Linked DNA regions of Caenorhabditis elegans. The protein of the gene in region 3 interacts with the protein of the main gene of each other region in a pairwise test. Each region holds a gene or a part of one and is shown on either strand. Other genes may lie near its edges. The genes, in order: cpg-3, F49E2.2, sas-4 and chc-1.

The links.
Region 1: the proteins of sas-4 (region 3) and cpg-3 interact in a two-hybrid assay, tested with the Caenorhabditis elegans proteins (one large-scale study listed by BioGRID).
Region 2: the proteins of sas-4 (region 3) and F49E2.2 interact in a two-hybrid assay, tested with the Caenorhabditis elegans proteins (one large-scale study listed by BioGRID).
Region 4: the proteins of sas-4 (region 3) and chc-1 interact in a two-hybrid assay, tested with the Caenorhabditis elegans proteins (one large-scale study listed by BioGRID).

What each region holds. Positions count from the first base shown.
Region 1 is NC_003279.8:7,243,087-7,246,636, forward strand, and holds cpg-3 (Chondroitin proteoglycan 3), read left to right. Parts: upstream 1-1,879; 5' UTR 1,880-1,906; coding exon 1,907-1,946; intron 1,947-1,997; coding exon 1,998-2,377; intron 2,378-2,422; coding exon 2,423-2,670; intron 2,671-2,720; coding exon 2,721-2,931; 3' UTR 2,932-3,016; downstream 3,017-3,550. Other genes in the region: dhp-1 (Dihydropyrimidinase 1), read right to left, coding at 1-42, 576-667; R06C7.6 (Protein N-terminal glutamine amidohydrolase), read right to left, coding at 3,055-3,277, 3,326-3,493.
Region 2 is NC_003284.9:9,565,640-9,573,323, forward strand, and holds the start of F49E2.2 (SH3 domain-containing protein), read left to right. Parts: upstream 1-1,656; coding exon 1,657-1,789; intron 1,790-3,143; exon of another isoform or gene 3,144-3,268; intron 3,269-3,396; exon of another isoform or gene 3,397-3,417; intron 3,418-3,739; coding exon 3,740-3,871; intron 3,872-3,911; coding exon 3,912-3,962; intron 3,963-4,598; coding exon 4,599-4,750; intron 4,751-4,802; coding exon 4,803-5,041; intron 5,042-5,124; coding exon 5,125-5,308; intron 5,309-5,350; coding exon 5,351-5,497; intron 5,498-6,440; coding exon 6,441-6,608; intron 6,609-6,679; coding exon 6,680-6,817; intron 6,818-6,867; coding exon 6,868-6,962; intron 6,963-7,006; coding exon 7,007-7,199; intron 7,200-7,684. Other genes in the region: moc-5 (GTP 3',8-cyclase), read right to left, coding at 1-69, 176-340.
Region 3 is NC_003281.10:8,313,819-8,320,360, forward strand, and holds sas-4 (Spindle assembly abnormal protein 4), read right to left. Parts: upstream 4,771-6,542; 5' UTR 4,764-4,770; coding exon 4,671-4,763; intron 4,623-4,670; coding exon 4,527-4,622; intron 4,447-4,526; coding exon 4,102-4,446; intron 3,986-4,101; coding exon 3,766-3,985; intron 3,724-3,765; coding exon 3,191-3,723; intron 3,015-3,190; coding exon 2,571-3,014; intron 2,301-2,570; coding exon 2,142-2,300; intron 2,096-2,141; coding exon 1,908-2,095; intron 1,860-1,907; coding exon 1,800-1,859; intron 1,047-1,799; coding exon 758-1,046; 3' UTR 531-757; downstream 1-530. Other genes in the region: F10E9.2 (uncharacterized protein), read left to right, coding at 1-36, 81-205, 253-468; F10E9.11 (rRNA-processing protein FYV7), read right to left, coding at 4,928-5,195, 5,253-5,320; F10E9.10 (uncharacterized protein), read right to left, coding at 5,811-5,867, 5,912-6,028, 6,075-6,182, 6,227-6,331, 6,382-6,462. UniProt on the Caenorhabditis elegans protein: Required for centrosome duplication. Plays a central role in determining centrosome size.
Region 4 is NC_003281.10:10,201,902-10,209,841, forward strand, and holds chc-1 (putative clathrin heavy chain 1), read left to right. Parts: upstream 1-1,919; 5' UTR 1,920-1,970; coding exon 1,971-2,093; intron 2,094-2,140; coding exon 2,141-2,261; intron 2,262-2,312; coding exon 2,313-2,677; intron 2,678-2,723; coding exon 2,724-2,903; intron 2,904-3,011; coding exon 3,012-3,872; intron 3,873-3,916; coding exon 3,917-4,219; intron 4,220-4,266; coding exon 4,267-5,421; intron 5,422-5,467; coding exon 5,468-6,689; intron 6,690-6,741; coding exon 6,742-7,320; intron 7,321-7,368; coding exon 7,369-7,505; 3' UTR 7,506-7,803; downstream 7,804-7,940. Other genes in the region: dbd-12 (DB domain-containing protein), read left to right, coding at 50-145, 202-294, 341-459, 525-627. UniProt on the Caenorhabditis elegans protein: Clathrin is the major protein of the polyhedral coat of coated pits and vesicles. May play a role in yolk protein clatherin-mediated endocytosis by oocytes during oogenesis.

The DNA.
Region 1 (3,550 bases), on a different chromosome or scaffold from region 3:
ACTTCTGTATCTGGTAGAGCAGTTATATTTGGAGATACTTCTCTGAAATCGTTTTTTTTTTCAAAAATTATTTGGTAGAATCAACTTATTGGCGGATTTCGATTGGGGGGTTTTTTTTTAAATTAAGACCTCTACTAACTAACTTATGTCTCAAATGTTTAGTATATTGCCAAATATTCAAAAAGAAATTGGGGTTTTCACAAGAAATTTGTAGCAAAGAGCAAACGTCTACAGTGTTCTGAAACAAATAATTAAATCATAATTGAAATTAAAAATCGTAGAACACTTTTCAGTTGAATACCAAAATTATGATAGATGAAAACTTAGATATTAGAAAGAAATTGATACTTTTTTAGATTAAAAATTCAAGAATAGTTTCTAAAAAATGTTGAAAAGTTTTCCTATTTGAGCGTTATAGGAATAATCATTTTCCTCAGAGGCGCAAATCCATCTTCAAGAAAGAGATACCTAGATAAACTGAATTACAGTATATTTATTTTATCACTATCACCTAATTAATTTAACTACTTAACTTAACTACAGTTTTTACACGCATTCTTCTTGTTTGAACTTACACAATAATTCCATTTCTAACAAGAACATCAGCTTTAAACATTCCATCTTCATTGACGACAGTTCCATTCTTGATAACAAGTGGTGGGGACATTTCCGAATCTCTTAAATTAGACAAAAAATGAATTTTCTTGACGAAACACAAAAAACTTTGAAAATGAAAAAAGAAATCTTGATTTTGGGTGGAAGGAGGAGACTGATTGATAATAATAGTTGTGATAAGAAAGATAAAAGAAGAAGACGTACCCGGGGCGTGTGATGATAACGTACCCAGATTGATATAGACGATGTTAAAATCACGTTTCTTTAATCGGAAGTGAGAAGAAACCATATGGCATGATTGAAGATGGTACGGTTAGTCTGTCCAGTTTTTGTTCAAAGTTTTAGAAATTATTTGGTAAATTAGACTAATTGACAAACAACAACTGAAATATTCGCCGATTGTGATGACTTGTTGAGAAAGATGTGTGATCAACGTGCTGGAGTCTTCACAATGAGCATGTTCTACACATATGCCATCCGTGCCGCTCTTTTCTATTTAAAGCTTAAGCTTCAATGTCTGAACGAGAATGGAAATGAGGATGCTCTGACAAAGGTCCCTTTCCTGACAAAGAAAACTAAATAGCTCTGTATTTCAATTTTTCTTTCCTACAAAGAATCTTTTACTGTCTCGATTGTTTATTGAAAGCATCCGTTGCACTTCAAACTCAATACTTCAAAATTCGTGAAATTTGAAGTATTAACTTTGAAGTTGTAATTAAACCTTTCCACTCCCAAATCCAAGATAATCGTTTTCAAAAGAAAATTTTATTCAAGGTAGAATTATATATGAAAATATCCCCTTTTTGGTCTCGCCACGAGTTTCTTCAAATTTCAAATGAAGCCTGCTAGACAGTCTGCGCCTTTAAGAAGTACCGTAGTTTCCATGGATCGTTGTTTCGCAATTGTTATGGCTTATTTTCCCGTTTTTTCTTTATTCTTCATAACTTCATGGTATTTTTTAACACAATTAGTTGACCAAAAATAAAGAAAAAACGAGAAAAAATAGATTCAACATGAACTGAATAAATATTTAAATTTAAATTAATTTTCACCGTTTCATCTTCACAGTATGAAATTCTAGAATTCGAATACTATGTTTAAAAATTATTTCGGAACGTATTTTTTATTTCTATGTAGAAAATACCGTACTAGACCTGTATGACTAACAAATTTCTTACTAATTTTCAGTTTGATCTACCCCGCTTAATGAGCGAATTTTGGTTGTTATTGTTTTCAATGATTTCGATTTTTACTTCACAATCGCATTCCAACAAATCAGTCTTCACTAAAGATGCGTTTTGTGTTCATCATTGCTTTGCTGCTCATTGGAGGTTTGTTTTTCACTTGTATTTTGAAATTAAATTAATTGTAACAAATTGCAGCATCTCTCGCTCACCCAGCCGATCCGATCCGTGCCAAACGTGATGTTTCCGCCAGTGAAGATGAGTTCAGCGGAGATTCATCTGGAGAAATTTCTGGCGAGAGTTCTGGTGAAGCATCTGGTGAAGCCTCGGGAGAAGCATCTGGTGAAGCCTCGGGAGAAGCATCTGGCGAATCATCTGGTGAAACTTCCGGCGAGAGTTCAGGAGATGAGGAAACTTCCGGCGAAGGATCTGGTGAAGAAGGATCCGGTGATACATCACCAGTCGTTCCTGTCGACGAACTCACTCTTCAACAGTTGGAGACACTCAACACGTATGCTCAACAAGTTCAAGCTGAATCACAGAAGCTCATTCACCAAGCTAACTTCGTCATCACTGAGGTTAGTTTCTCGACCCCTTTTAATTCAATATTTTAAATCTTTCAGATGACTGCTCTCTCTGCTAACGCTCAAAACCTCGGAATCCTCTCGAACATCGTGCTTGCCAACTCTCAGATGGTTCTCGACAGTGCTCGTCTTTCACTCAATGAAACTGAAACCGAAACCGGAACATCTGCACCAGCTACTTGCGTCTCATCTGCTGTCTGCTATGGAGATTCTGGATGTGGAAGTGGAAAATGCATTGGAGCTCTTGCCGGAACTTGCAACTGTAACTCCTGTGTCTTTGGATGGCCGTAAGTTTTCAATTTATTTCGCAGCAGATTTTAAAATATTATTATTTCAGATGCCAAGAGGACAGTGCTTGCGGAGGATTCAACGGTGCTTGCAACAGCATTACCGCTACTTGCGATTGTTTTGCTGCCTACACCAAGAACAATCTCACTCTGGCCGAAGCCCTCACTTCGTTCTGCAACGTGGAGACGTGCAATGGAGCCGAAGACAATGTCGAGAAGTGCCACGGATTGCCATGCAACTATGGATTCTGTGTTTGCTAATTGACCCCATCTTATCGGCTTTTTTTTATTTTGCCCAAATATATTGCACACAAGTTTACGGAATGAATAAAAATTTCATGATTCTAATTAACTTCAACATTTGAAATGAAAAAAATCAAAAAATCACTTGGAAAATAATTGGAACAGTTCTGGTTCGTCCATAACCGTCGTGTTCTCGATTTGTTCTGACATTCGGATCAGTTCCATCAAATTCGATGGTTTATGAGAATTTATTAATGGCCATTCAGGAGGTGGCTTTAGGTATACTCCATTCTTCGAAAGCATATGAGATCGATCAGATGAGAGCAAGGATATGTAGTTTTCTCCTGGAATTACACGAAATTTTCTGAAAATAATTATTCAAACTGAAGAAAAAGTGTTAAAGTGTAGCAACCTTCTGAATTTAGTGTCACGCTGAGCCATTTCTGCGAGATTCATAGTTTTTTCCCAATATTCTAAGAAATCACAACTCCATTCGAGTGTAGAATCCAAATCGTAGACTTTTGACCCGTTTTTTTCCTTTTCAATAGCAATGACGTGATAATCCCAGAGAACATGACCACTGTAAAAATAAATTATGAAATCATGAAAATTCTTTGATTTTTATTTTATAATTAAT
Region 2 (7,684 bases), on a different chromosome or scaffold from region 3:
TATCCTCAAATAAGTGTGCTCTCTCATAAACATGTCAAAAAATGGTGGCTGGCCTTTTGTGTGTTCAATCTGAAATTGAACGATGAACGACAAGTGAACTTTCAGAATTTTCTTATATTTTCTTATCTCTTTCTCTGATTTCTGAAGCTCATTTGCACAATATGTTTAAGAATACCTCTTGAATTTTTAGTCTGACTGCTTCTCTTTTTTGTTCGGGCGTCAACGTGAGTATTGGTTCGGCATGTTCTCGTAATGGAACAGTTAGTTGTTTTACAATTTCTTCTGTTGACGACTTGACCCGTGACCATTGAAATAACTTTTTTCCTGCTCGACAACTCATCTGTAATATTTATATCAAAACACTTTTAAAAATGCGGTGCGATTAATTTATTGATTAGGAATTGAGAAAAAAAACAAAACCTAGAGAAAAGGTGTAAAGTAAACTCCAAGCAGCACATTGTGGCTCTCACGCTCAAACATAAATCGTGGGCGTTGAAACCATAGAAAATGCAAAACGGAACAACGGGAATGTTTTGTCATCATACAGGTTGATGGGCACTCTACTCTGCATTGGTGATTTGCAATTCAATTCCGAAAAGTGATTTTTGTGTCGACGAAGGAGAAAACGAACGTGTTGCAGAGAACAAAAAGAAAAAGAGGGATAGAGGCTCAGGAATTTTGGACTTTATATATCAGGAAATGTATTTTTAATGAAAATGAAATATCATGATTCGGTCTAACGATTTGAAAAACTCAGTAACTTTTGAATGTCAATAAAAAATTTTTATTCCAGCTGTTGAAAAGTGTTACTATTCTATTTGATCATTTTGGCATTTTATGGATAATTTTTAACAATTTTCTTACTGTCGCTACTCCACCTTAATTAATTTCTGATGCAAGTTATTAATTTCTGATGCAAGTTATCAATGTCTGATTTTCAAATGGTTCGTGAAAATAAATCGAGGTTTTATCATTATCTTTTAATCAATATGATTCTGACGCTAGAAACACAATATTTCTGGAAGAGACAACAACATTGTTTGTCAAAAGATAAACAAGCGAATATATTTCAGAACATTTGTGTGCTCTTGACTATCATTTCCTCATAGTTTCTAAATCAGAAGGAGTGTTGCCATTATGAGTAAGTTAAATACCGTGTCCCAAAAATATAGTGTACTCATAAACCCCTTTTTTTAAAGTTGTCACGTCCTCCAAGTGTCCCATCTTCCAAACATCTCTATTTCTCTCTGTCTTTCTTTCTGACGTGTCTTTTTAACTCTTTTGGTGACCCCTGTAATTTGTACATTGTATAATAAAGCATAGACTATTTGAGACAGAGAGAGCGATGTGAAAAGGGCACTTGATACAACGTAAAAAAAATTGTTACAGCTGGCATCTTCAATCTGGGCGCTCGACGATCTTCGCTGATTGGGATGAAACTATGGAGATGGAGAGGTGAGGATTTTTGGGGTAAAAATATTCAATCAATTTAAGTGACTCATACAAACACAAAAAAATCATGTTATCAAAATCCATTCAATAATAAAATTGCAAAAAATAAATACGGAATGTTCCAATCTGCCTCCCTCATTCCCATCCCATTCCATTCTTTTGTTCTGTTTGTCCTGGTTTTCATCGAAATATTGATAAACTCCAATGGAATCTGCAACTGACGAGTTTTACTACCAATCTCGCATTCCACCACAGCCATCCCCTTTACCAGCTCAAACTCTTGAAATTAACGGTCACAAATATGTTCTCAATCATCGTTTCAAGAGTATCAAGATTGGTAAGTATGGTTATACGTCCGAGTGATTGGCAAACGACCTCGGGATACATACGTTTTGTTAGCCGGATAGTTACGACGTGTTTTTTTGGAGGGAGAAGACGAACGGAATAGAAAACTTAGACATTAGTCATGCTTGTCAGTTGTGTCGCGCGTCTCTTTGTGCCAAAAAACTTCGCCACATGTTAAAAGGTTGGTCAACTTTTGTTTGTATCGAGGGAAATACTGAACTTAAATGCAACATTAATATTTTCATAGAATAAAATGTAAGTATTAGTTTCAAAAAGTTACATTTTAAAGCTTTATAATTTGCAGCTCAATTTATATTTTCAAATATCTCTGAGAAGCATGTGAAAATATAACTTTCATTTTGAGGTGTTCGTAACATTATATAAGTTCTCGTCTTCTGAACACTACCTAGAAATTTAATATATTGTTGGAATTGGAGTTGGAAATGTTGGAAATCATGTGGGGATGCCCGAATGTAGGTGTCCCTGTAAGACAAAACTAGGCAAATCAATAAACACGATTTTTTAAGTGATAATGTGTATGTATTGTAGCTTTTACTTGTGAATTAATTTCATAAGCAACTTAACTTAACTGTGCTAGTGGTATTTTTTGTTTAGTTACATTTTCCTAACAATGATACACTTATTTTGATTGAGCAAGATGCTCAACATATTTCTACTGTCTTTGATGTTTCACATGTATAACGCAAATTTTGAACATACATGTTCAAAAAATCATTATTTACTCACTTATTAACAACATTGGTATGACAATGTAATTTAAATTGCGGTATATTAAATCAATAATTTTTTATGGTTTAAAATAAGTTTTGAGTTTTGACTACTTCTCTAAATTTTGAATAAATTACAAAACGAGTTACTTGTAAAGATGCCGATCAACTTTTGTAGCACAATAATTAAAGTTGTCCTGTACTTTATTCATAGCTTTATTTAATTCTAAACAAATTTTATTTTACTTCACGGGTCAGTGTTCAGAATTGAAACAATTAAAACAAACTAGAGTTCAATGTTTTACTAATAACACTCACTATCAGGTTTCTTTACAAGCTTAAACGATGCGTTTTTTATATTTTTATATTATTTAATTTCAAATTATTCAAATGTTGTTCAAAAAGTTGCATACGGCTTGTCATTTTTTTTTGTCAGATGTCACCATTCTCTGTTGTCACGCTCTTAAAATTGATAGTGTCAAAATGTCAACAGTATTTCTTCACACAATCAGAATAGTCGCTTCAGAATGGCACAAAAACTTAAAGTAGGCGGCGATTTTTGGTTTTGTTTCACACTCTCCCAATCTGCCAGGTTTCTCGCCGCTTGGCGCCGATGCCCGGGTAATGTACATAATCAAACGCACGCAGCATACCAAAGTCGGGGCTCTTATCACTTGCACAACGCTTTTTCAATAGGTGCCTGCCGCACTGCGTCGTTTCATGAACTTGGTTGTACGCTCGCCTCATTTTCTTATAGAGTGTACACTGTTTTAGGCGTTTTGCCGGCATAATGGCCATTATTTTACTCCAAAAATGAAATATTTTTTGTTTCATTCCTTTCTTATGACACATGTTGCGGTGATAACCATAATCGTTATGATGGAAAGTGGAATTCAGGAATGTTGGCAAACAAAATGACTTTATAACACTATTTCTTCAAAAAATATAGATATTTGTGTTTTATTGATTTAGGTTCACCGTCTTAGGGTTTTTTTAAGTTCTATAACTTGTTTAGTTGTATATTTTTTATAATATTTAGTGTCGCATGCCTTTAGCAATTAACAATATCAATAAAGAAAGTTTCTCGGATGGCAAAAGCGTTATCTACAACAGACCAACCCTGCCCATAAAATATTATAAAACTTTTCCCGCAAAAGTAGTGCATTACTTATGAAAATTGAATGTCAAACAGTTTGCAAAAAGTTGGTTTTCAGTCTCTCATCGGTATCCACCAATCATCCCGATGTCGGTCGACGAACAAGCGGTACCACCGGAGGTTTCGCCTTCAATGGCTGCCAACATTCCACAGATGGTCCACGATCAGCTAGCCGCACAGTTTTTGCCAGGTACCTCTTGTTTAGGTTAACATACACAACAAAATTTCAGCGGCAAAAAATCTTGGGCAAGCCGGAATGCATCTACTGAAAACATATTACAGTAAGTATTTTTGATCAGAAAACAATAAGTTCTCTTACACAGTATTCTTTCTATGCTTTTGTTGTATTTTAAAAAACCTGAGAATGCCTAAATTGTGGCTCGAAAATAGCGGCAACAGGGAAAACAATCGGCGAAGAAAGATATAGGTTCCTTCGCTACGAGATATTCCCGCGCCAAAACGGTAGGCACTCTCATGATCTCATGGTTTCTTAATATTGTAAGAGATGAGAAGTAAAAAAAATTAGAAAACGTTACTGCAAAAAGTTGGCAAATATACGTTGAAAGTATTATAGTTATCATGGTCGGGACGGTTTGTAACAATGGCTCAATAATGTGAATAAAATATACTCAGCTCATCCCATTTCTGTGTTAATAATTTGTTTATAACTCAATTCAGTTTGTATCGCAACACATGAAAACATGTGTAGTTGAAAGACGCATTCATAGAACTCGAGTTTTATATTTTCATAGTTTGTGCCTAAAAATTCAATGACAAAAACTATATTTTTTGTGAGAGTGGAAATTGAAACATTTTCGTTTGCAATCCATATCAATGTAGGTCAAGAAAAATAGCTTTTCAATAATCACATCAAGTTTTCAAGATGACAAGAGTATATAAAAATTTGCAATTTTCAGTGTTCCAAGAAGCATTGTCAAACTATTGTGATGCCACTCACAAACTTATCAAATCAGCTGATACTGCTGGACACAAATCGAAAAATGAAGCTCGAGAGCTTTCAAAAGTTTTTAAAGAGTTTGTACAGGGAGTAAATGCTCATCAAAAAGTCGTAAGCATCAATCTAAAGAAAAGTTTCGCATTCAATATATAATTAAACATAGATTACGGAATTTGACGCGCTGGCACACAAAGTTCATGACTATAGCAACAAGGAAAAAGACAAGCTGAAGACAGAATTTGCTGAGTACAAAGCAAAAGAAAAAAAACTTCTGAAACGCAAAAATGGAGAAACTGAACAAGATATTACCGCGTTCCATAAAAAAGAAGCAGCCAGCTGGGCAAAACAACAGGAAATGAGATACAAATTTTTCAATGACAAGCTGCAATCCTGGATTCACGGGTGAGTTAAATGTAATTAGAATTGTGAAAATAGCAACATTAATTCAATTTCTGGAAAAAAAAACTCTCATAAAATATTATCAGATACGTCGAAATTGGGAAATTATTCCAAGCCCAAGAAGTGATTGTTCAGCCAGCAGTTGGGAGTGTGATCGCTGCACCGGTTGAAATTGAGACCATACCAGAAGACCACAAAGATTGGCATCAAGATTTACATGAGCATGCCGCCGTTGTTGCAGCTGAGGAAATTAAAGAGAATGTTGAAAAGGTAAAACACAATTTAATGCGTGTATATCATATTAAATTTCAGAAAGTAGATGAAGCTGTACAGGACAGCCGCAGCAATTCGACTTCATCGGTTGCAACAACGCTAGAGGATCTTCCATCTTCTCGTCGTCTCACAAATGACGTTTCCGGAGTCACACTGGTTAGTAATTATCGCCGTCAATCAATTGAGGTTAGTTGAGGACTAATATGTCATGTGAAGAAATGTTTCAAAGTTGTTATAAGTCAATATTGTGTATAAACAATAGGTCATAGTTACATTAAATCACGTACATAAAACTTATAATACATACGTTTCATTTTGTATTAAAAAAAAAGAACACTCACATTTTCAAAGTTTATTACTATGTGTAAGCCATCGGACTAGTTGTAGGATACTTAAAATTTGAACTGTTGAAGCAAGGAGGTATTCAAAATTTCTCCTATTTTGAAAAATTCGCATCTGCAATAACACTATTTTTTAATGTTTGTATAATGTCCGCATGTGCTATTAAATTATCTAGGATAAAAATCAATAAAAAACGCAACATTTTGAATTTTAATTTAGATTAAAATCAGTTTATTTATTCATAGTTAAGCCTGCATGAACTTTCAATCAGCAACACAGTGTTTTCAAAATTTAACAATAGAATTCAAAAATGTTTGTAAACATCGAAGCAAAAGTCTTTAATCGAAAAAAGAAATATTAGCATCGTTTTGTCAATTAGATTTTATTGAGTTTTCACTTTGGTTTTGAAATCTTGGCAATCTTTCTATCACGTTTTAGAAATGTTACGCGAATTTTAAAAGGCTGACTGAAGAACAACTATTTTCACGTGTTACATAATTATCAAAATTTTTTCGTAACAACTTCACGTGTTTGTTTAATGGTAGAATAGCGACGTATGAATAGTTGCTCTATTTGACTCAAAATTACCTCACATAACATTACTATATTTTATTTAATCTTTCACATAAAGTTTTTATCAAAGATTTGAACTGCAGTAAAAACATTTCATATTCTTATTATGTATTCACAACGTGCCCCGAATTAAAATACCATGCATTGGTTTTTACAAACAGTAAATGCAACTGGTTTATTTCGAAGAAAAATTTAATTGCCGTATTAATTTCAGATTCAACAACTTCCACCCAACAACAGCTACTCCCACATTGCTCCACCAGTCTTGCCGCCAAAACCAGTTGTCGAAAACCCCCAATATGCTCCGATTCGCGCTCAACCAGTTCCAGTCACACGCCAGGAGGAGAGCACATACGCCCCTCGTCATAATGTTGTCGCCGAGGTAAGCATCTGGTGTAATCATCTTTTCACTCGCTATTATTTGTCCATTTTGATAAAACTATGCGTTTCCAGCAAGTGCCTCAACAGCCGGTTAATAGCGCTCCAGGTGGTGTCCGCCGTGCTGGAAACACAATTCCAGGTGCTGTTAATGTTTTCGGATTTGCAAATCAATCAAATCCTCAGCCAAATGTCCGCTACACGCCTGTTCAGGTAAAAACTATTCGTGTAATTTTCAATTTTCAAGTGTGATAATCCTTCAGAATAGCACGCCTTATCAAGTTGTTACCAGCGATTATATTCGCGTTGGGAGAGTCGTCGATAATCCAGTGACAGAGGAGCAAATGAATGCTAAAAAGTGAGTACTCACAAGAAATTTGAAAAAAAGAACGACATATTCAGATTCCACGTGGATTCTAGTTACCTTCCAATGGCTGCTCCATCTCACCAAGCACAACAACACAGTCGCAATCATAGTACAGATATTTCGGTTCCATCATTCTTCAACCCATCACAATATGGAAGTATTCTGATTGTTAACGATGATTTCAATGCTTCTTCCGGAGAACAGATGACTGTGAATCGTGGAGACAAGGTACCAAAAACTTTCTAAATAATTTTGAAAAATTAAACTAAAACTTGTTACTTTTTGTGACGTCAAGAAGAAAACAAAAAGAATATAAAACTTTCAAGCAAAACGGCAAACCGATAAAATTTCTAACAACAGACCGGTGCCCTAAAAAAGTGGTAACATTTGCCTGTATCAATATTTTAATTTGACACTATTATAGGATTTGAAAGCCTACATGAGTAGAGTTTCATGAATGTTTTTTTTAATCAAAATCAATTTAAGGTTATTAATTTTTTATCAAAAAAATCTTAGCATTGGTTCGAGATATTTAATTTATGGAATTCGTTTTTACATTCAAACAAGTCCTTACTGAACATTTGTCTAACAGGCTCTTTGTAATATTTAGTATTGAATTAGAGAATACTTGCAAAACATAGTGTAGTTGAAAACTATGTTGATGTTGTTCTTTGTTAGATATTTTGAAACATGCATTAGTCACCTCCACAATT
Region 3 (6,542 bases):
CAGTCGTTGTCAGCCTTCCAACGGATGCCACTTATCGTAAGCTTAAGAATCTAAGATTTTTAAACAATTATATCGTTCAGACGATCTGATGGCTCGACTCTACACGCTTCTTGGTGTCAGCGGTAAGACCCATATGATTACTCTGAGAACTCAGAAATCATCGAGTGAAGAAGGCGAAGGCGAGTTTTCTGGTCGAGGTGACCCGGTTAGTTTTTTGATATTCTGAATATAAAAAGATAAGGATGATTGTAGGCTCCTCTTGAAGTCGGCGATTCGAAAACTCGTCTCAGTGATCTAAAGATTACACGTCACAAGATGCTGCTCCTGGATGTAGATGATCAGAAGAAAGATGGAAGTGGTGAGGAGAAGAAAGAGAAGAAAAGTGCGGAAAAAGAAAAGAAAATCTCACACGAAAATGTTCAAAGTTTGAGTCCGTCGAGTCGTGCAGAAGATCCGAGATCATCTTGAAATGTCTCCAGTGTTCCAATAAATCTTTGCAATCTGAATCCCGAATTTTGTGCAGAACATTTAAAGTTAAAATTGTTTATAACAGTCAATAAAATAACCATGAAGATCAATATGAAAGAAATGGGGGAGGGGGCAAGTGAAAATTGAGATAGTAAAAAATGATTGAATTATTTGATATGATTTTACAGGAGGTAGAATTAATTATAATTTTAGAGCACTCAGGAGTGAAAAATAATGTCAATGGAATAGATATACAAACCACAAGTTAAAATAAAGGGGTTGGAATTTCTCATTTTTTCCACTGGAACAAAGTTGTTTTCCGACGTTTATCGCCTATCATCTCTGCAGTTTCCAATGTACCTTCACACGTGGAAAGATTCACTTCAAGTCTCAATGTTTTCTCGCTGCATTCAGGTCGTCCAATGATCTTGAGAATATACTGATTGTTGAGACCAGTCGGATCTCCCTGATACCAACGAAGACGGAATTCTGGCTCAACGAGCTCAAAATCGTTGTAATCAGTGACGAGAACGTAGCGACATTGATTGTCGCGATATGTGTGTGTACCGGGATTGTATCTGAAAATTTGATAGGTTTCAGAGGCAAAAATATTTATAACGGGGTTTTAAACCTGTTTTACTAACTTTTTGAAGAATTGAGGTCATATTCCTAAATTTTGGGTTAGACAAAAATTATAGAAACATGTTTTGTTTGAAAATATATTATTTGCTAAAATATCGTTATACTTATTTGAGTTTTTTTAATGAATAAATTAAAATTCATCGAAAAACTAACTAAGGAAAATCGATGAAAATTCTGTTTCAAATTGAGTTTGAAATTACAGTACTCTTTGAAGGCGCCAAATTTTACAATTTTTTCGTTAAAGGACAGATTTTTAAATGTGAAAATACGTGCGCCTATAAAGACTGTTGTAGTTTGGTTTATTTATCTTTTTTCTAAACTAATAAACATGTTTTTATCAAAAAAAAAAGGGGCAAACAACAATTCGACAGTAACGCGATTTTTAAACTACAGTAATATTTAAAGGCGCACGCCTTTTCCCATTTAACTAAATTTTATCGTGCCGAGACATTTTTTGCCGCAAAATGTCACATCTCTTTTTTTATTTTTGTTTCGTTTTATTTATGTAATTTATTTATGTAACCACTTGTGATGGTTTGTATCTATTAATGTGTGTGTGTTTTTTTTTCTACCTAACGATATCTTCTATCGTAATAAATTAAATTAAATTAAATTAAACATCTGGGTAATAGTTTTGAGATTTTAATGGTTTTTCTGAATAATTAATTGGAAAATGAATAGAGACTCACTTTCTCGAAACTTCTTGATTGCTAAAATCCTTCGTAACATATCTTCCGTCCCTATTGAAGCTGAAATACGAAATTTCCGATGAACTTTAAAAAAGAAAATAATCTTACATTTCAGTTTTATACATTCCGTTTTGATAAATCAAATCAGTTCGAACTTCTCGTCGTTTAATACTTATCAATGTTATGTTATTTCCAGGACGAAGTACTTCAACTTGCCTTTGAAATGTATGAATAATTGAAATATTGTATGTGGGGAGATCAATTCTGACTGTTTTATCAACTGCGGATATGTAGATCTGTAAATTGGTCACTTTAATTGACAAAATTCCAATTAAAACTTACATTAACAGCGTTCTGCCGATTAACCCATCGAAGATCTCCATTGGAATATTCGAAAAGAAGACCGTTAGCTATTGTATCCGTCACTTTAGATGTTTCTCCAAGAGAATCTCTGTAGATCGTGCATTTTCCAAATTTTCCCGGCATTTCTTTGACTGGCATCTTCAAAAAGCATGATTTAAAATTTTTTTTTGACAATTTTCGGTAACTCGAAAACTATTGATTTTTAATTCTGGGAATTTTGAAAAATCGGAACTTTCGGCAAATGCTAATAGTAAGCTGTAAATTTTTAGACTTAAAAAACTATTTTTCAAAAATATTAATTTTTTAGTCGGGAAGAAAAAATAATTTGAAATTTTTTTTGAATTGATTTTTTCAGAGCAATATTCTAAAAACAATTTTAAAAAAACCCTGCTTTGATCTAAATATTACCATCAAAAACTCCTGTGGTACAGCTTCCAATGATTGTTCATTTGGTTCATCTGCCCAACTAACACCTCTTTCTCGATTTGATGTAGATGGTTTTCTAAATGTTGTCAACGAAGATGATGATGGATGTCTAGATGGACCATTTGATGTTATCGAAATTGGAACACTTTGATTCAAAACTGGTGGCACTGGATTCGAAGTTTTTCGATTCATTGCAACCTTCGCGAACATCTCCTTTTCTTTATCGTCGCGTTCTTTTTCAGTACGTAATTGTTTTACGCGCTTTTCTAAAGTCTGTAGAGTGCTCTTTAGCCGGTTTCCGTCTTTCTGAAGCTTCTCGATTTCCTCGTCTTTTTTCTTGAGCTTTTCGTCTCGAACACGTATATCCTGTCGATATTGTGCATTCTTGGTTTCTGATGCTCTTAATTTGTCGCGGAGAGTGGCTATCTGAAATTTGACAAGTTTTGCTGGATTTTAAATTAAAGGTTTTATAATAGAATTTCAACTTTTTAAATTCTCAATTTATTTCAATGAAAATTTTAGATTTTGCTTTGAGAAAAATTTTCAATCGAAATTTCGTGGTTTTTCTCGAATAACTATTTCTTGCTTAAATTCTTAATTACCGTTTCTGTGAATTCTTTATTCCTTTCTCCCGTTCCTTTCTTCAATATCTTCTGATCTCGTTCAAGATCTCGTTGATCCCTCTTCAATTTCTCGTAAAGTTCATCATAATCTTCCTTAATTTTCTCAAACTTCTTCTCAAATTCTTCCTCAACTCCTTTTTTGCATTTCTTAAATTCTTCTATCAGTTCTTTCTTAAAATTATTGACTTCGGAAATTTTTTCTTCGAGCTGTCGTTTTGTGGTGTGCACGGATTCTTCTGCATAATCCAAGTGAGCAATAGTGTCTCTCAGTTGTATGTTCAAGTTACGATGACGTCGAATTTCAATTTCAAGTTTCTGTCGGTCCAGTGATGATCCAGGAACATGTATTGGTTGATCATAAACGTGCTCGGGTCGATTTTCATCTTGAACATTTCCATTCTGTGGATTCTGTCGTGATGAGTTCATCATATCATTTCGTCTCAATGGGGCGGTCACAGTAGGTCTTTCATGGTGTTGTAAAAGGCTTATTCCCGTTTGAGCCTCACTTCGAACTAAAAATCTAATCAATCATGTTTTTTTTGTTATTAACCTACCAAGCTGATTAATTCTATTGCTGCCAAGCGGTCGAGCCTGTGGTGTTTCCAGAGAAATTCCTGATAATTCTTGCATTGAAGACGGCCAATTGTGATTATTTGGGCCAACGCCTAAATCGTTCATAATTGGTGTAGACCGAGTAGGAGGCTCAGAGGAGTTTGATGGTGCACAAGATGATGGCGTTGCCAGTGATGTTGTGATTGTTGAAGCTGATCTCATCTTTAATTTTAATTAATTAAATTTTGAATTAGAGAGTATTCGTAGGTTTTGATTTTTGATACGTAAATCTATTCTATGTAAAATTTCAATTATCATTCTGATTTGGCTGTTCTTACCGAATCCATTCTTCTCTCAAAAGCTTTGAATTCGGCAGCTGCATTTTTATACTTTAAAGCATCATCAGACAATTCATGATCTGAATTAACAAGAGTCGAAGGTTCATCAGGCACAAAAGAAGGCATTGCAGATACTTCATCCGTGTCATTGTCTTCTTCTTCTTCAGCGTGCTGTCCACTGTGGCCATGCTCTTCAGCAACGGAAGGTGCGGGATTTAGACGATTTTCCGGCGAAGATGACAATGATGGTTGATCCATTGGAAGAGATGCGGTGGTTGGTGGACGGGTCTCGTCTTCATTTGATATTCCACTGTCCACGGTTCGGGCAGAGTTCGGGAGAGCATTCTGGAATAATTCTACTTAATATTTATATTTAACTAGTCACCACAGTTTTATAACGTTTGTATTTAAGATATTTTACTTACCGACAGACTAAACCTAGGAACATTAATAGAAGGACTTGAAGCAGATGAAAGTTCCGACGTTGGAGGTGCACCAGCAGATGTTTTGTTGTTTCTAGGCTGAACTTCATATATTATTTCGATAAGCCTTGTATTTGCACAAACTACCATTCTAAATCTTGCTGTTCCTTGTCCTTTTCTCAAAAACGGCCGAGAAGGCTTCTGTTCACCGTCGGCACCGATATTTTCATCGGAAGCCATCTGAAGGCTGAAAAGGTTTTTAATAAATAATTGAATTATATTTCAGAAAATAAAGTATACTATCGGTAAGAAACGAAGAAACGATAAAACTATCGATTTTTAAAAACACAACAATTTCATTTCAACAAAAAAAATCTGAAAATATAAAAGACAAAACAATTAGTTCATTTCTTCTCCTTTTTCTCCTTATCCACTCTTTTCTGTATCCTCTCGAGAAGTACATCCATTTGAGCATTCAGATTTGGTTGTCCTTTTTTATTTCTTTTTGCCAATGCCTGATTCATCTTCTTTCTTGATTTATTTGTCGCTGCAATCGTCTCATTTCGCTTTTCTCGTTCGGCTCGCTCTCGTTGTTTCTCCTCTTCTTTTTCTTGCTTCAGACGAAGATATACGTCTTGTGCTTGTGAAAAGCTCATTTTCTTTTGCTTTTTCCTAAAAATGTTGATGATTTCAGATATATTAGTTTTGAAAATAGGAAAGAAAACTTACGATTTAACTTTTTTGGGTGGTTGCGATGCCACGGCAGTTGCATTGTCTGTCTTTGATCGATTTCCCATCTGAATAAACGATTGAGATTTCTAAGAAGAGATTATGTGAAATTATAAAAGCGTTTTGAAGGGATTAAGGTGGTAAACGGTATAATAACCACAGCGGGGGGTAACGAGAGAGCGTGCAAGACGAAGATGACGCAGACAATTCCCGCCGTCGTGCTAGGGAAAATGCTAGTCCACGGCCATCACAATTCTAGGCCATTTTCAAAGAAAACGGAGGGAGGTTCAAAATTTAATTGTTTTTGTTGAGAAAAAGAGAATTAATTCGAATTGTCCCTCATCATCCGCGCTCGTGACATGAATTTCGAAAATATAATTTATGCCAGTAATGAGTATCAAAATAATATTTACATGAAATGAATTGAGCAAGAGTAAATATCACAGTTCACATAATATTTTTGATTCCTATAAAATGTTTCATATTTGATAAAAACAATGATACAAGTTTTTTCACATCGATTTGAAGAAGATTGGAAATTCAAATATGTTGGAAGGATTATTGAAGTGTGAACGCAATTGTAGCATGTAAAAGGCATAAAAGTATTGAAGATCCCTGAAAATATCGATTTTTAAACAATCGTTGATTGGTAAACCCACAGATGACAGTAACCACTGATCAGTCCATTGAACTTGATTTACTTCAATGGAAAAATGAATTTCTATTACAGAACTAATACCACCAAGTAGAGAACAAAGTACTGCAGATGGCATTTCCTTTAATTTCAATATTTATTTTATTCCTCCTTCCTATAAAACTTACCATAAAATTGAATGTAAGAACACATGAACTACTTGAATAATATATTGCAATTATTAACCAAGAAAACGATATTACCATTATAATCGGAGCTGCTATCACCGGAAAGTACTGAAAGTTATGTCATTTCTTTATGGTACCAAATTGTATGATACCTGTAGTAAGTGCCGAGTACTTCCCCATCGAAATTCCTTCTCAACGACACAGTCATAATTTTTGCAGTAAAGAAGATTCCAGTATAATAAAGAGCAGGAAATAATCTAGAATTATAGGTGTAAACTTGAATTTTCTATTGATTGGTAATTCTTACGATGGAAACAGTGTAGAGGTACAGTGGTAGGCGTGTCCGAGGATATGGAGAACTTATTATTTTTGGTATCACTGTGACCATCCTGAACACATTATTATTATTGTAAGAAGAAAAAAGAAGAAATGAGTTAAATAAGGATGTCAATGGGTAGATACTTGCAG
Region 4 (7,940 bases), 1.9 Mb from region 3:
TTACTGTAAAAAAGTCAAACTTTTAAATATATTTCATATCAATTTTCAGAATCCTAACCACTTGTTCCATGTATGCTGTGAGGAACGACAGTTGCCTCCCGCATGTGTTCAGAAATGCCATTTTAATGTTTATAACAAAGGAGTGGTAGGTTTAAATAGGTCAAGTTTATATTGTGAAATTGAATTTCAAAAATTGTATAGCTGGAATCAATGTTCTTTGGTTCAAGTGAATGCCCGATTGAATTCCTGCCAGAAATGCAATTTTGTGCGGCTCAAGGAAAAGATCATAGCCAGGTAAAAGGTCGTTGAAATCTGCTCAATAACTTCTTACTAGTTTCAGTGTTGCTCACAAAGTCAGGTGGATGCAACGACGGCTGGAAGTAAATGTCTAACCTTCTGCGATCAAACACCCGATCTCTACACTCCAATTGATTACAGCTATGCGCCTTGCCTAGACAGGTTTCCATATCTTTTTATCTTCCAATTCTCGAGGCAAAAGTCATGTTGAATTAAATTGGTTGCAGGTTCGAGGACATGAAACGATGCTTCTATGATAATGTGAAGTCGGATGCAATCACACATTTCGAGGCGAAAAAGAGTTTGCAGGATAAGAGTACATCTTATTAATTGTTTTTGATTTTATATTTACTTAACTTGAGATTTCGAAATAAAATGTGCGATTTCGCAATACCCATCACGACATACTTTGTATTTCATTTTCCATTAAAGCGGAACTATTACACATTTGCGAATTTCTGTGGCAATTGCATAAAAAAACCGGTACCGGGTCTCGACACGAAAGATTCTCTTAAATGCAAAAAGTGTGATCTTCGGTCCGTGGAGTACTGTAACTTCCAGCAGGGCTAATACAAGAGAATTTGAACAGAAAACAATACATAACATTTTTATTCAAAAATGCCAAAAAATTATAATACAATTCAATTTTGAAAACAGTTTTTCGTTGTATTTTGGACCAAAAAAATCGGTTTTTTTTTGCGCAACGTTGTTGGATTCTCAACGTGTTTTATCTCAGTTTTTCCTTGAATTTCGGTAAAACAGAACAAAAAATGAAATGTTCAAAAAAAGTGTTCCAAACTACAGTACTCCTTAAAGGCGCGCACACTTTTAAATCAAAGAAAATTGGTCGTGTCGAGACCCCGTACTGTATTTTTTGTGTAAAACTCGAAAAATTTCCGTGTATGAGTGATCTACTGATTGAAATTGAGAAAACAAAGTTTATCCGCAGATCAAATTTGTTTTTTTTTTCTTTTCAATATTTCACGGCAATCATTTCTTAATCCAAACACGTAATTCACTGTCGTAATTGCTGATGACTCATTCATTTCATACGAACGCTTTTCTTTTGTCAATCCTTCGGCCGTACAAACATAAATTTTTCCTTGTGAAATTAAAAACTCCGCCCAAAGCGAAGAAAATTCCCAGAAGAAATTCGGCGGAAAAGCGCGCTCTACCGAGAAGCGGGGCGCGTCGCGTCGCGTGCCCTGTGATGACAGGGCGACTTGTTCAAGCTTGGCAAACAGGAATCATTTCTCTCGATCAACTGGCTTCTGCATGTTTGACAAAGCTCTCTCTTGATAAGACATTTCCGTTCAATTGTTTTATTTTTACGTTTTCCCTCTTTTTAGGTGCGCTATGAGTCCTCAAAAATTTTTCTTTACTCAGCAAAGAGTTCTAACTTTTGGAATTACAATTTTTCCTTCATTTCAAATCATTCACAGTAATAACAGCGGCCAAAGCTAGCTTTAAAGCTGTATATTTTTCCATTTATTCCTTCAATCTACCGATATTCACTTCTATTTCCCGGAAATGTCTCACTTTTGTGATAAATTTTACGTGACTCATCTTTTTATTTTTATCGTGTTCTCTTTTCTTTTTTTTTCAAACATCTCCATTTGCAGGTATATAATTTATTGTAAGAAGTTTTTCCATTCTACACACAGTTTTCAAAGATGGCGCTCCCAATCAAATTTCACGAGCACCTGCAGCTTCCGAATGCTGGAATTCGGGTGCCCAACATTACATTCTCCAATGTCACAATGGAATCTGATAAGAACATTGTTGTTCGTGAGATGGTAGGTCAAATAATCGCAATTAACTGTTCTAAACGGATAATTTCCAGATTGGTGATCAACAACAGGTTGTGATTATTGATTTGGCCGACACAGCGAATCCAACTCGTCGTCCAATTTCTGCTGACTCAGTAATCATGCACCCAACTGCCAAAATTCTTGCTTTGAAATGTTAGTTTTCAGTACCATTTGACTCTGAAGCTTATTTATACCTTTTTTCAGCTGGCAAGACACTTCAAATTTTCAATATTGAGTTGAAAGCAAAAGTGAAAGCTCATCAGAATGTAGAAGATGTAGTTTATTGGAAGTGGATCAGTGAGAAAACGATTGCACTCGTTTCCGACACAGCCGTCTATCATTGGTCGATCGAGGGTGATGCAGCTCCAGTCAAGATGTTCGATAGACATCAGTCGTTGGCCGGAACTCAAATCATAAATTATCGCGCTGATGCCGAAAACAAGTGGCTCGTTCTTATTGGAATTTCCGCAAAAGACTCCCGTGTCGTTGGAAGTATGCAATTGTACAGTACCGAGAGAAAAGTATCGCAGCCAATCGAAGGCCATGCCGCTTGCTTCGTTCGATTCAAGGTAGGACTAATTCGATGATGGATTTGTCATATTAATAATGTTTTAGGTCGATGGAAACCAAAACCCATCTAACTTATTCTGTTTTTCCGTCAAAACCGATAATGGAGGAAAATTGCACGTTATTGAAGTAGGAACCCCAGCTGCTGGAAACACTCCTTTCCAAAAGAAGAATGTTGATGTTCCATATACCGCTGACACAGCTGGCGATTTTCCAGTGTCTATGCAGGTATGTTGCTTATAGTCGTATAAACAAAATTTGATATCTTTCTGATTGATTGTTTATAATTTCAAAAGCTGAATGGTGTTGTTTATAAAATAAATTGTTGGTTTTCAGGTATCTGCGAAGCAAGGAATTATTTACCTGGTAACAAAGCAAGGATATGTTCATCTTTATGATGTCGAGTCTGGAACACGGATTTATTCGAATCGAATTTCGACTGATACCGTATTTGTGACCTGTGAATACACAGCTACAGGAGGAATAATGGGAATTAACAGAAAGGGACAAGTTCTTTCCGTCTCTATCGATGAAGCTAACTTGGTTCCGTTCGTTACGAACCAGCTGCAAAATCCAGATTTGGCTTTGAAGTTGGCCGTGCGTTGTGATCTGCCTGGAGCTGAAGAGTTGTTCGTTCGCAAATTCAACTTGTTGTTCAGCAACGGACAGTTTGGAGAATCAGCCAAGGTTGCTGCATCGGCTCCACAAGGAATTTTGAGAACACCAGCCACCATTCAAAAGTTCCAGCAGTGCCCGTCTACTGGTCCAGGACCATCTCCACTTCTTCAATATTTCGGAATTCTTCTCGATCAAGGAAAGTTGAATAAATACGAAACACTCGAGCTGTGTCGTCCGGTCTTGGCACAAGGAAGAAAGGAGTTGATAACGAAGTGGCTCAATGATCAGAAGTTGGAGTGTTGTGAAGAATTGGGAGATCTCATTAAGCCGCACGATGTGAATACTGCTCTTTCAGTCTATTTGCGTGGAAATGTCCCGCACAAGGTTGTTCAATCTTTTGCTGAAACTGGACAATTCGACAAGATCGTAATGTATGCCAAGCGTGTCGGATTCCAACCAGACTATTTGTTCCAACTTCGTCAAATTCTCCGTAATTCGAATCCTGATCATGGAGCAAAATTCGCTCAACTTCTTGTCTCTGAGAGCGAAAACGGAGAACCACTTGCTGATCTTTCACAGGTAACGAATGAGAATAAGGATTTGGCTAATTTAAACCTTTTCAGATCATTGACTGTTTCATGGAGGTTCAAGCTGTTCAACCATGCACTTCATTCCTTCTCGAAGTTTTGAAGGGTGATAAGCCGGAGGAAGGACATCTGCAAACGAGACTTCTTGAAATGAATCTGCTCGCTGCCCCAGCTGTTGCCGATGCTATTCTAGCCAACAAGATGTTCTCTCACTACGATCGTGCCGCTATCGGACAACTCTGCGAAAAGGCTGGACTTCTTCAAAGAGCTCTCGAACACTTCACTGACCTCTACGACATTAAGCGAACTGTTGTTCACACCCATCTTCTCAAGCCTGATGTGAGTTTCTAATTAGATTTCTAAAATAAATGCTAATTTATTTTCAGTGGCTCGTTGGATATTTCGGAAGCCTTTCTGTTGAAGATTCGGTCGAATGCTTGAAAGCCATGCTCACTCAGAATATCCGACAGAACCTCCAAGTCGTTGTGCAGATTGCATCCAAGTATCATGAACAGCTCGGAGCTGACAAGCTGATTGAGATGTTCGAAAATCACAAGTCATACGAAGGTCTTTTCTACTTCCTTGGTTCGATTGTCAACTTCAGCCAGGACCCAGAAGTTCACTTCAAGTACATTCAAGCTGCCACGCGCACAGGGCAAATTAAAGAGGTTGAGCGTATCTGTAGAGAGTCGCAATGTTATGATGCCGAACGTGTCAAGAATTTCCTTAAGGAAGCCAAGCTCAACGATCAACTTCCTTTGATCATTGTCTGCGATCGTCATAACATGGTTCATGATCTTGTTCTTTACCTGTACAGAAACCAGCTCCAGAAGTACATTGAAGTCTTTGTTCAAAAGGTTAATGCCGCCCGTCTTCCGATCGTTGTTGGTGCTCTTCTAGATGTTGATTGTAGTGAAGATGCTATCAAACAATTGATCATTAACACTCGTGGAAAGTTTGACATTGATGAGCTTGTCGAGGAAGTTGAGAAACGCAATCGTTTGAAGCTTTTGAATCACTGGCTTGAATCGAAAATCCAGGAGGGAGCGACTGATGCTGCTACCCACAATGCGATGGCCAAGATTTACATAGATTCTAACAACAATCCCGAACGATTCTTGAAGGAAAATCCCTACTACGATAGCAAAGTTGTTGGAAAGTACTGCGAAAAGCGTGATCCTCACTACGCCTTCTTGTCATACGAACGCGGACAGTGCGACGCTGAATTGATCAACGTGTGCAACGAGAATTCACTATTCAAGAATCTTGCAAGATATTTGGTGAAGAGAAGAGACTTCACTCTGTGGGAGCAAGTTCTCAACGAAGAGAATGTTCATCGTAGACAGCTGATAGATCAAGTGGTTCAAACTGCTCTTTCCGAAACTCAAGATCCCGAAGACATCTCTGTGACTGTTAAGGCATTCATGGCTGCCGATTTGCCGAACGAACTTATTGAACTTTTGGAAAAGATTGTTCTCGATAACTCTGCATTCTCGGAGCACCGTAATCTTCAAAATCTGCTCATTTTGACTGCAATGAGAGTAAGTTAATTATTTTAGAAAACATATTCGATCAATCCACTTTCAGGCCGATAGAACTCGTGTGATGGAGTACATTCAAAAGCTTGACAACTATGATGCTCCAGATATTGCTAACATTGCTATAACTTCTGAACTCTACGAAGAAGCGTTTGCCATTTTCAAGAAATTCGATGTGAACTCAAGTGCCATCAATGTTCTTATCGAGAACGTGAACAATTTGGATCGTGCTTACGAATTTGCTGAAAAGTGCAACCAGTCAGATGTCTGGGCATCTTTAGCCAAGGCACAGCTCCAACAAAATTTGGTGAAGGAGGCTGTCGATTCGTTTATCAAGGCCGATGATCCAGGAGCGTACATGGAGGTTGTGAACAAATGTTCTCAAACGGAGCACTGGGAAGATCTTGTTCGTTACCTTCAAATGGCTCGCAAGAAGAGTCGTGAGTCATACATCGAAACGGAACTCGTTTTTGCTCTGGCCAAGACTGGTCGTCTCACTGAACTTGAAGAGTTTATCGCTGGACCAAATCACGCTCAAATCGGACAAATTGGAGATCGTTGCTTTGACAATGGAATGTTCGATTCCGCTAAGATCCTTTTCAACAATGTTTCCAACTTCGCCAAACTTTCCGTTACTCTTGTTCGTCTTGGAGAATATCAAGGAGCTGTCGATGCTGCACGCAAAGCCAACAGCACGAAGACATGGAAACAAGTGTGCTTCTCTTGTGTCGAGAATGGAGAGTTCCGGCTTGCCCAGATGTGTGGACTTCACATCGTTGTCCACGCTGATGAGCTTGAGGAATTGATCAACTTCTACCAAGATCGTGGACATTTCGAAGAGCTCATTGCTCTTCTCGAAGCTGCATTGGGTCTTGAACGGGCTCACATGGGAATGTTCACCGAACTCGCGATTTTGTACTCGAAGTATAAGCCAGAGAAGATGCGTGAGCATTTGGAATTGTTCTGGAGCCGTGTTAATATTCCAAAAGTTCTTCGTGCTGCCGAGCAGGCTCATCTTTGGTCCGAGTTGGTGTTCTTGTACGATAAATACGAAGAATATGATAACGCCGCACTGACAATGATGCAGCATCCAACTGAATCTTGGAGAGAGCAACATTTCAAGGAAGTCATCGCTAAAGTCGCTAATGTTGAGCTATACTACAAAGCAATGCAGTTCTACCTGGATTATAAGCCACTTCTCCTGAATGACCTTCTTACTGTGCTATCGCCTCGGTTGGATCATTCGCGCACAGTTTTGTTCTTCAATAAGCGTAAGTTTAAATTTCGTTTAGTTTTTAAACTTTTAATAACAATAATTTTCAGTGAAGCAAATCCCACTGGTCAAGCCTTACTTGAGACAAGTTCAAAACTTGAACAACAAGGCTATCAACGAGGCTTTGAATCAGTTGCTCATTGATGAGGAGGATCACGCCGGGCTTCGTTCTTCTATTGAGGCTCAAGACAACTTTGACAATATCACTTTGGCCCAACAACTTGAGAAGCACCCACTTGTGGAATTCAGAAGAATTTCCGCATACTTGTTCAAGGGAAACAACAGATGGAAGCAATCGATCGAGCTTTGCAAAAAAGACAAGCTGTACAAGGATGCCATGGAATACGCTGCAGAATCGAGAAACGGAGAACTCGCCGAAGAGCTCTTGTCATTCTTCCTGGATGAGAAACTTTATGATTGTTTTGCCGCCTCCCTTTACCATTGTTATGATCTCCTTCACCCCGATGTCATCATGGAGCTCGCTTGGAAGCATAAGATTATGGATTACGCCATGCCTTACATGATCCAAGTTATGAGAGATTATCAGACGAGACTTGAGAAGTTGGAGCGTTCTGAGCATGAGAGGAAAGAGGAGAAGGCTGAGCAGCAACAAAACAATGGAATGACCAGTGAGTTTTAACAAATATTTAGAATTTAAATTTATTTGATATTTTCAGTGGAACCACAACTTATGCTTACCTATGGTGCCCCTGCCCCACAAATGACTTATCCAGGAACAACTGGTGGCTATGGCGGACAGCCTGCTTACGGTCAACCTGGACAACCAGGATATAATGCCCCTGGATTTATGTAATTCGATAGTTTTATCCCCATTTTCTTACCCCCACCCCCTCACTTTCTCCCCGCATCAATAATTATATTGTAATTTATTGCTTGATGTCTATACACTTTTTTTGTTTAAATTATGATATTCTATTTCTATTTATTCCGTCCCCTATGAAATTGTGATGGTTGTATTCTAATCCGTGAACTTATCCTTAAGGTTGTTGGTCCGATGTGTCGTCTCTCTCAGTTCTGCCCGTTTTCAAAAAAAAGTTGATCACAACTCTTTTAAACCACCAGAACCATCATGAATAAATTAATTCGTTGTTACCAATCGCGTTCGAGTTTCGGATGAAATACTGGTTCAGTCCATCATCATAACATTTTAGTTTTACGATTTTAACTTTTTGTATTATTCACTAGCTGAATTTTTTAAATTGAGATCTAGAATAAGCCATTTTCAGGC